Linked DNA regions of Sus scrofa. The protein of the gene in region 1 purifies or fractionates together with the protein of each later gene. This does not show direct contact. Links are inferred from orthologs where the notes say so. Each region holds a gene or a part of one and is shown in the gene's direction. Other genes may lie near its edges.

Evidence for each region.
Region 2: the proteins of TNPO1 (region 1) and NUP153 purify together in Homo sapiens (co-immunoprecipitation; 3 studies listed by BioGRID and IntAct, with this or other methods). This does not show direct contact. The link is inferred for Sus scrofa from reciprocal best matches to the Homo sapiens genes TNPO1 and NUP153.

The regions. Positions count from the first base shown.
Region 1 is NC_010458.4:49,047,281-49,051,641, forward strand, and holds the start of TNPO1 (transportin-1), read left to right. Parts: upstream 1-1,405; 5' UTR 1,406-1,804; coding exon 1,805-1,819; intron 1,820-4,361. UniProt on the Homo sapiens protein: Functions in nuclear protein import as nuclear transport receptor. Serves as receptor for nuclear localization signals (NLS) in cargo substrates.
Region 2 is NC_010449.5:13,463,619-13,468,087, reverse strand, and holds the start of NUP153 (nuclear pore complex protein Nup153), read left to right. Parts: upstream 1-1,510; 5' UTR 1,511-2,080; coding exon 2,081-2,191; intron 2,192-2,309; exon of another isoform or gene 2,310-2,540; coding exon of another isoform or gene 2,541-2,609; intron 2,610-2,672; exon of another isoform or gene 2,673-3,010; intron 3,011-4,469. UniProt on the Homo sapiens protein: Component of the nuclear pore complex (NPC), a complex required for the trafficking across the nuclear envelope. Functions as a scaffolding element in the nuclear phase of the NPC essential for normal nucleocytoplasmic transport of proteins and mRNAs.

The DNA.
Region 1 (4,361 bases):
TAATCAATATTTTTTCTTTCAAAAGATTTTAGCCAATAAATCCTCTTACATACACTAAATAATACTTGCTTTTCATCAATTCATTTCAACGATTTCCAAACAATTAATCAGGTGAATTTCTTACTAATGGCTTAATCAGTAGTTCTTTACATCTGTCATTATTTGCTAATCTTATACATTTACAAAGTTTTCTTGTCATTTTTCTTCAGTAAAGTTGAAGATACCACACACACCCCAATTTGTACAAAACAAGGCTCCCTATACCATGATGGAACTTTTCAAATGCTAAATTTAAACCCTGTTTGTTATTTGGATAAATACACATATTCTAGATAAATATCCCTTCAGTTATACTAAACTCCCATTTAGGAAGGTTTACATTAATTTTTTTTCTTGGTAATCCACTCCTATTTGGGAAGCCTCTTTTTGCTGTACATTTTTGTATTCAATTGCTATCGAATTAACATTAGAAAATGTTGAAATCATATTTATGAACATTTTAGTTATTTAAAATTTTTTTTTTTTTGCTATGTTCAATTCCCTAATGATAGAAATGGTCCTTCTAGACCCAAAATTTAAGTAGTTCTTTTGTAAAATGATTGTGGTAAATGAAAATAATTAACAGTTATTAACATGATGTCTTAGTATAAAAAACACTTTCTTGTATTGGTGCTATAATTTTATCTAGAATACTCCTGGAAGGCAACAACCACTACACATTTTCAAAACATAATAGATACAGCACTTGCAAGTTGGAAAGTCAGTCAAGACTACCGGTATTTTTACACACACTGACCATGGGAGGAAGACTATCAGCGGCATCATCACCTTAGGAAATAATGATGTAGCTATGCGAATTTAAAATTTTCATATAGTAAATGTATTTATAAGAATAATGTCGGGGAAGAGAACTGATATTTATCTATTCACTTCCATTATTATGAATTACTCTAAAAAACGTCTACCTCTCCATTTTGAATTATTTTCTGTTCAGAAAATAAGCCATTTTAATTTCTCATGATGGCTGGTTACGGAGAGGAGTACTTGTTATTTCCAAGAGCAAGAAACTTCTCCAATTTGAATACACACCCGGAGACGTAAAACCTAATTTTCAAAGTCATTTAATTTTCCCTACAGAGCAGTTGATATGTTAGACACAGCATACCTCAAAAGCCTATCCTGCAATATTAGCGGGCAGCCGTCCACTCTCTATCCATTGAAGCCATTTCTGCTTTTTACCAGCGACGATGGAACTGTATTTTTGTGGGACATGCGGCGTGTTCAGTGTGAAATAGGCTCCCAGAGCAAGGCTGTCACTTTGGAGGTGGTCCTGAGGTATGGAATTTAGGCTAGAGGAGGGTCGTCGTGCTAGGAGGGCCTTCGACAGCCCTAGGGAGCCACACTTACAGGGCCATTTTGGTCGAGGCCTCACAGCGCAGAGCAGCGTCCGCGGCGGCTCCTCCCGTGAGCCGGAGGCTGCGGCCGGCACGCCGGCTGCAGGGGGCGCGAGCGGGAGCCCGGCATCAGGCCCAGGCCCGAGGCCGCAGCGCAGACTTAGAAACCGCTGCCACGCGCCGCCGGGCGTAGGTCCGTAGGCCCCGCAGGCCGAGACCGCGGTTTTCCCAGCCCGACTGCCGTTGCCAAGGCGACCGCCGCCGAACGTTCCCGCGGCGAGCCCCGCCCCCTGTCCAATCGGACCGGCGCTCGCCGAAGCCCAGATTCTCTTTGTTCCGCAGCCATTTCAGGCCCGGGACAGGAGGCAGCGCCGCTTCGGCAGAGGGTCTGAACGCCGGAGGCCTCTGGGATGGTGTGGGACCGGGTAGGTGGCGTGAGGGTTCGCGGTCCCGGACTAGAGGGCGGGAGAGGAGGCAAGCTGTTGGGAAGCTCCTTGACGCGCCACGGGGAGAGACAGTGGACCCGCTGCCTTCCCGGTGTCAACCCGGCCGTTTGGAGCCCGGCGGCGGCGGCGCCGCGGTTCTGAGCCCAACAGCTGCGGCCCGGACGTCCTTCGGGATACGGATAAGGGGCGGGCGGCGGCTCCTCAGGTGTTTGAGGTCGGAGCCTGAAACCCGTTAGGGGCGCCAGGAAGAGGGTCGGTTCCCCGGGGAGCTTTTGCTCCCGACCATTAAACCGCGGCGTTTCAGGGCCCTGGGTGCCGCAGTCGCTGCCCCACAACAACTGCTTCCCGCCGGTTCTGGGCACAGTGGGGCGCCGCCCGGGATGCCTGGTCTTTGTCCCCGTCGGCCCCTCTGCCCGGGTGTCCCGGGTCAGCACACTCCATGGCCTCCACACTTAGCTGCCTGGTCGCTTTCTCCAGACGATTGTTCTCCCTTGGGGCCTCACGGCCTCACAGCATGTTTACGTAATTTTAATGTTTGTAACTGTGAGGGGTTTGCGTGGGTTTCTATTTTTTGTTTCTTGGGTTTTTTTTTTTTGTTTTTTGTTTTTTGCGCCTCTACCCTTTTGTACTTCACCCACGCGAACACGCAACAGGGAACTGCTACTGAAAAGCGGACCCGCTACCCCAATCAACCTGTTTTGGGAGTGGCCTTTTTCCTTTAAGAACAATTGCCAGTTATTTTTCCTGATTTTAAAAATCAGCTGGAGTTTGCAAGGATTGCTTATAGTTTAAGTCCGTTATCTTAACAATTACTAATCAATTCTGCCCTTCAGCAGTTAAAAATACAGAAATTTAAAGTTGGAAACTATCCGCAAATTGATTTTGACAATGAATGTATGAAGAGTGCTTTTTTTTTTTTTAACTTGAAAGATGTTTTTAAAGTACAAGTTGAATCTTGTAGTAGGTACTTGAATGTAAGGTTGTAAAATGGCTGTGCTGACATGCTTATTTTTAGGATAACAGAAGTTCTTTTTGCATCTTAAGTTTTCTTGTTTAATCACATCTTTCATAGTAGAATGATAAATGTTGTATGAGTGAATCAGGGGCGAATTCAGTTTTTTAGAAACATTCTGTTTTCCACTTTTACCCTGTCCTGCGCCCCGTTCTTCTTAGAGAATTGCTCTGCCAAGTTGAAAACTTGCAACTGCAAAAGAAAAATATGAGCTTGAAAGTGCAGATTTCTGTTTTACTTCCCAGCTTATGCAATACATAAATGCATAACAGTTTGGCAGTATGATGTTTACTTTACCTAATTTAATGCGAACCTAAAGAATTATTAGTGCTCCATTTTTTCCTAAAAAGGACCGCCACCAAATCAGCCTTGATGTGATTACATTGTCTTGTAAATATACAGGGAATTATTAAATTCCTTCCACTGAAATATCTATAAAACTATTTTTAAAGTAATCAAGCTTATTATCATTATATGTTGTGAGCAGAATAAGATCTTGGTAAAAATATATATGACGCTGGCTGTAAATATTTCCTTTATCAACACCTGTTATTGTATTCATTGTTTTTATGACTAGTTTTTCTTCTTTGTATTATGTTAAAGCCATCTCATAAACTCAATTTTTCTAAATACTGTAAAAGAACTGCATTGAAATATAAATGTGCTATGTTTAGAAGAATTGCTTGCATTTAACCATGTTGGATTCTGCAGATACTGTTTTTAAGAAAGGGAGTTTGGTTATAAAGGAAGCCAAGCCAAGTGACATATGTAATGCAATAAATTTATCAAATATAAACTGCAGAGAAGAACACGGCAGTAAGTGGGAGTTATTTTTATTGCCCAGGGTATAAATTATGAATATATTTTCCTGGAATTGATATTTGAGTACATATTGGTGCTGAAAAGATCTTATTCCTAAGAAATAGTTTGGTTTACCAACAAAAGGGTGACAAAGCTGAGAAAAGAAAATTGATTAACTGATGAAGTTTTTAAAAACAATGGAGAATAATACCACCTTGCAAAAGCATCAGAGACAGTTGAATCCCCCAAGTGTTGGAAATCTTTCTTAGTTCCATTCAGTTAGTGCTGTGGTAGATAATTGGTGTGTGTTGGCAGGTAAGAGGGGTCTCCTGGGTTGCAGGGGGTAAGAACTTTACAATGGAAGACAGATGTTTGCAAAGGTTATAACAGTAGATCTGTAATTACATGGATTGGTGTTAATGTGGTTTCTAGAAGCCAAGTGTGGTTGCTCCAAGATCCCCTTACTAGAGTTCTTTGAAGTACTGTCAGTAGGTGTAATAAGTGAGAATGTTAAAGAGTTCCAGAGTCTCAGTGGTTAAATGAGATCCCGGAACGGGAAATAGGAATGCAGCTGTGAATCTTTACAGGAATGGGGGCTACATATTATTAAAAAATGGCACCTGATGGCAGAGCCAGTGTTTGAACTCAGAACTGAAAAAAAGCTGAAAGAAATCTGATAGATGAAAGATCACAGGATTTGAATTGACA
Region 2 (4,469 bases), on another chromosome or scaffold:
TCTAGTGAGAAGTTAGTGGTGGAGTTGGGGCATGAAGGTATAAAATGGAAGCACAAAAGGAAGTAGATTAATTTTGTCCATCATATTTGGGAACTTTTTATAGTCTTGGTGGTGATAAGGTCAGAGATGCCATTTGTTCTGTCAGCCTATGCTGGAAGATGCTGCAAATTCTAAGGTACTGCTTAAGTTTGGCTTCACCTTTTGACTTATATGATTTATATAGCGATTGGAATCATGCAATTTGGTGGTAGAGATGGTATAAAAGTCTTGAGGTTAATTATTTGTATCAGATAACTGGATGATATTAGATGCTTTCTGTCTAAGCAGTTATTATGAATTATGTATATTAATCCTTTCACCAGAACCACCAACTTGTTGAGGTTAATATTCATTCTATTTGCAGATGAGGAAACTGAAGCGTAGAAAGAGGATCAGTAACTTACCCAAGGCTACACAGCTAGTAAGTGATAGATTTAAAATTAAGTTTATTTGAATCCAAAGCTATTTATAAGCTTTAAAATCAATTGTCTCAAATGGAACATTAAGCCCATGTGTTTTCACAGAAGTAGATTTTCTTTCTAATCACTTGGTTACTTGTTTCAACTCCTACAGAAAAGTTGGGTTATAGTCCTGGCTTTGACTGCCCAGTTCAGTGTCCTCCAATATGTCGACTAAATTCTCCGGAACCCCGTCTTGTCCGTTGAATGAGGGCTGGCGCACGTGATCACCCAGATCTTTCTAACGGTCAACTTTTAAAAATCGCTATACTTTGTGGATTAAGTCTTTGAGCCTAACTCACTTTTCACTTTGCTAAATATAATGCCTTCTATTTGGAGCAAATATATGTATACTTTTATTACTGGTAATATACGGCTTACCTCTAACGTGAGCTTGACTGCTGTAGGTGATCACCGTAACCATTTATTGCATCTCTTGCATGCCAGGAAATACACTAAGTGCTCCACGTAGATGATCGCAACAGCTGTATAAGCTGGATTTTAAAGTTCCCATTTTATAGGGGCGGAAGGTTTTGACTTCAAGGTCAAACTTAAGTGGTGGAGCCAGACAGCACTTGTGTGTTTGACAACAAAGCCCTTATTGTAACGGACATTAATGAAACTGTATATATTTGCTAATTCTGTTTTAGGCTTAAAGATCATAGACACTGTCTTTTCAACCAGTTTTTTTCTTTTTATAAGATATTGTTAGCTTCTCTCTGTGATTTTACTATGTGCTTACTTTCTTCCCGCTTTACCATTCCAGAGAAGGAAAGTGGGAAGGAGGTTACCGTTTGTGTTAAATGCCTCTTTCAAAGTTTAGAATCAAGAGCAGTTAAAAGGAACGGAACCCCTGGCTTTGTGCCTCTGCAGGGAACCGCCGCTCTCCTTCCGCGTCCTCCGTTCTGAGCACGCGCCTCCTTCCGTTGAACTACGTTTCCCAGCGGCCCGCGCGGCTGAGAGCGCGGGCTCGACTAGCCCTTCCCACCTCCCCGCCTATCACCTGGTCACATCGTGATGATGCAAACTCGTCGCGCGCTGACTAGTGACGGCGTCCTGGCTCGCGACCGCAGCGGCGGCCTTAGTAGCGGTAATAGACGCAACAGCGGCGATTGCAGGGACGACGACGACGACGGCGGGGCGGGCGCTGTGCGCAAAGGGGAGGGGTAGGCGGGCGGCGCCGGCGGCTTCAACTGCGGCAGCTACGGCTAGGGCGACGGAAGAAGAATCCCCGTCAGCCGGCGGTCGCGTTAGGCCTAAGCAGCGCTTGGAACCTCTTGTGTTGTCCTCGCGGAGAATCTCCATAGAGACGGTGACATACACAGAGGCGGGGGTCCGCGGGAGGCTGCCGGACGGGAGCCAGGTCCTCGGCCTGTGTCGCCGCCACCCCCTTCGCTGCCGCCAGCGCGCATTCTCTCTCGGCTCCTGCTCGCAGACCCGCGGTTCCTGGTGTGCCTGTGACCCACTGTGTGGGCAGCGCGGACGGACTTTTGGGCTGGGGCCGGGCGGGGGGGCCTCAAGGCCGCCTCTGCCTCTCCCGCCCCCTAACCCGCTCCTCAGGGGGAAGCCGCGGAGGCTCCGCCATGGCCTCGGGAGCCGGAGGCTTAGGAGGGGGCGGTGGCGGCAAGATCCGGACGCGGCGTTGCCACCAGGGGCCAATTAAGCCTTACCAGCAGGGGCGACAACAGCACCAGGTACGGGACCCCGGCGCCTCGGGGCCTAGCGGGTCGGGCACTGGGGTGGGGAGGGAACGGGCGTGAGGGGTCCGGGGCCCCACGTGGAGCGGACGGGAGGGCCTGAGCGAAGGCCCGAGCAGGGCGGCGGGAGCTCGGGCCGCTGGGGTGGCGACGGGAAGTGGGCTGAGACAGGCCAATCTTGCGGCGCACACGTGTGGTTCGGGCCGCCTCTCCCCAGCCCTCTTAGCCTGGGGCTTTCCCCCGACCGGCGCAGGGCGGGAACAGAAATCCTAGGCCACGACGGGCCTAGGATTCTTTCGTTTTTGGCGGGGATTGGGGGTGTGAGGGTGTTACCCACGTCTTCTGGATGGGAGAAAGGAAAAGATGTGGCTGGAGGCCCCTACGTTTGATATTTTCTAGTCTCCCGCGTTTCAGCGTGAGTGGGGAGGGGGCTGCCCTGGGGTATCGGCCTCTGGGGCCCCCGGGGGTTGGTGGTGGTGGGGGGCGCTGTTAAACGGCAAGTGGAAGAAGTTACTCTCAACCTATTAGTTAATTCTCCATCTCCCCTTCCCGGGTGCCTCCCGATCTGAGAGCGTTGACTTAGATTTTTGTTTTCTTAACCGGGTTATAGTTAGTGGCACCGGGGCATTTTGAAAGTCCCTCTCCGCACTTACGTCTTTTTTCCGTCGCAAGACTCTTCCCTCCCCACTATGTCCACCCCTCCCCTTTTTATTTTGGAGGCTAGAATTGGCCATTGCGCACAGTTGACCGGAACTCCAGTTCTCATCTCATGCACAAAATATTTTAATATTATGGGACGTACTTTAGGAAGTTCAGGTACTTTTTAATAGTCTAGGAATATTGGTGGTCTTATAATTTAGTCACCTTGTGTACTCGTGGGCGCTCGAAATTATGAACAGGGGTTTAGTCTAATTGTAACTGAGATGTTAGAGTCTGAGAAAATTCTGCTTTTTAGCTGTTAATTGTTTGTTATGGGAATTGAGTAGGAAAATGTTAAATATTCTAATAAAAGGCCCTTTAAAATTTCTCGGTGGGAAGTATATGTCTTAAACCTGTAAAAAAACTAAAGTATGGCAAAAGGGTCTGAAAACTTGTTGCGTCCTGTTGAAGGCAGACTTCCTAGATTGCTGTGTTGTGGATGATAATGAATATGAGCACTTTGACATGTTTAGTGGTGGTAAATTGTATCATGAAAAAACAGAATTTTAAAAATAAAGATTTGGGAGAAATTTCTTAACAGTAAAAACTGGGTTATAATAGTAAGTATCTTTCTACTAATGGTTATAAGCCTTGGCATTATTGTTAGCTCCCACCACCAGTTGTCCCCCAGATATATACCAGGAGTGCTTGGTTTTTAGATTTCTTTGTGAGGAGCAGGGGTACTTGCAGACAGATTTGAGATTAAAATTCAGGTCACAGGACTGGCCATTTAACCTAATCCTTTTGGAGAGTGGAATTTAGACACATGCTTTCTGTTTTTCCTGAGGAATAAATGTCTTTCAGTGCTTTCTTACATCTCCTTAAAGTTTCTACATAAAAAAATGATATGTTGTAAATACAGATCACTGGATGATGTGGGCAGAGTGTAGAGAAGAACTCATATATTCCAGGTAGCAAAAACTATAACCGCACTTTATTTTTAAATGTACTTAGAGAAAAATCTGATTTGGGGGAAGGTGATGCCTTAACAACATTTAACACCTATGATCCAAATTGTCTTAGAGCTGATAGGATTTCAGACTCTGCAGTTTTGTGTTAGAGCTTGATCATTTATCATGTCGCCCTCTCTGAAATACTTTCAGCTATTTGCGTGAGCCATCTGATTGAAAAAGAAAGAACATTTTTAGGTTTTGAATTGGGATTAAAGATGTTTGGCGGTTTCTTGATTAACATTGCAGATACATTGTGTTAGTATTGGCAGATACTACCAAAGAAAAGTATCTGGGAATATACAAAAGAATATTCTATTTAATTTAACGATTTTTAAAATCTTCAAGACTTTCTTTAGTGCTTACTGGAACTTTTGTGGATTATGGACTACCTGCTTGCTGTCAGCTTTCCTGGGCTGTCACCTCTATGTTTTGCAGCAGCTGCTGAGTCATCATGAATAGCAAGGAGCTTCATGACATGGCATGTTTTATACTAATGTTATTTGATTAAGTGTCCAGTGGTTTCTGGGCAAAAATGAAGTTTTTGGTTGTGTAGTAGAGGGTTGGAATAAGAATGGGAGATCTGGCACTGTTAGTTAATGGATATTTGTCATCACCTTTCAGGC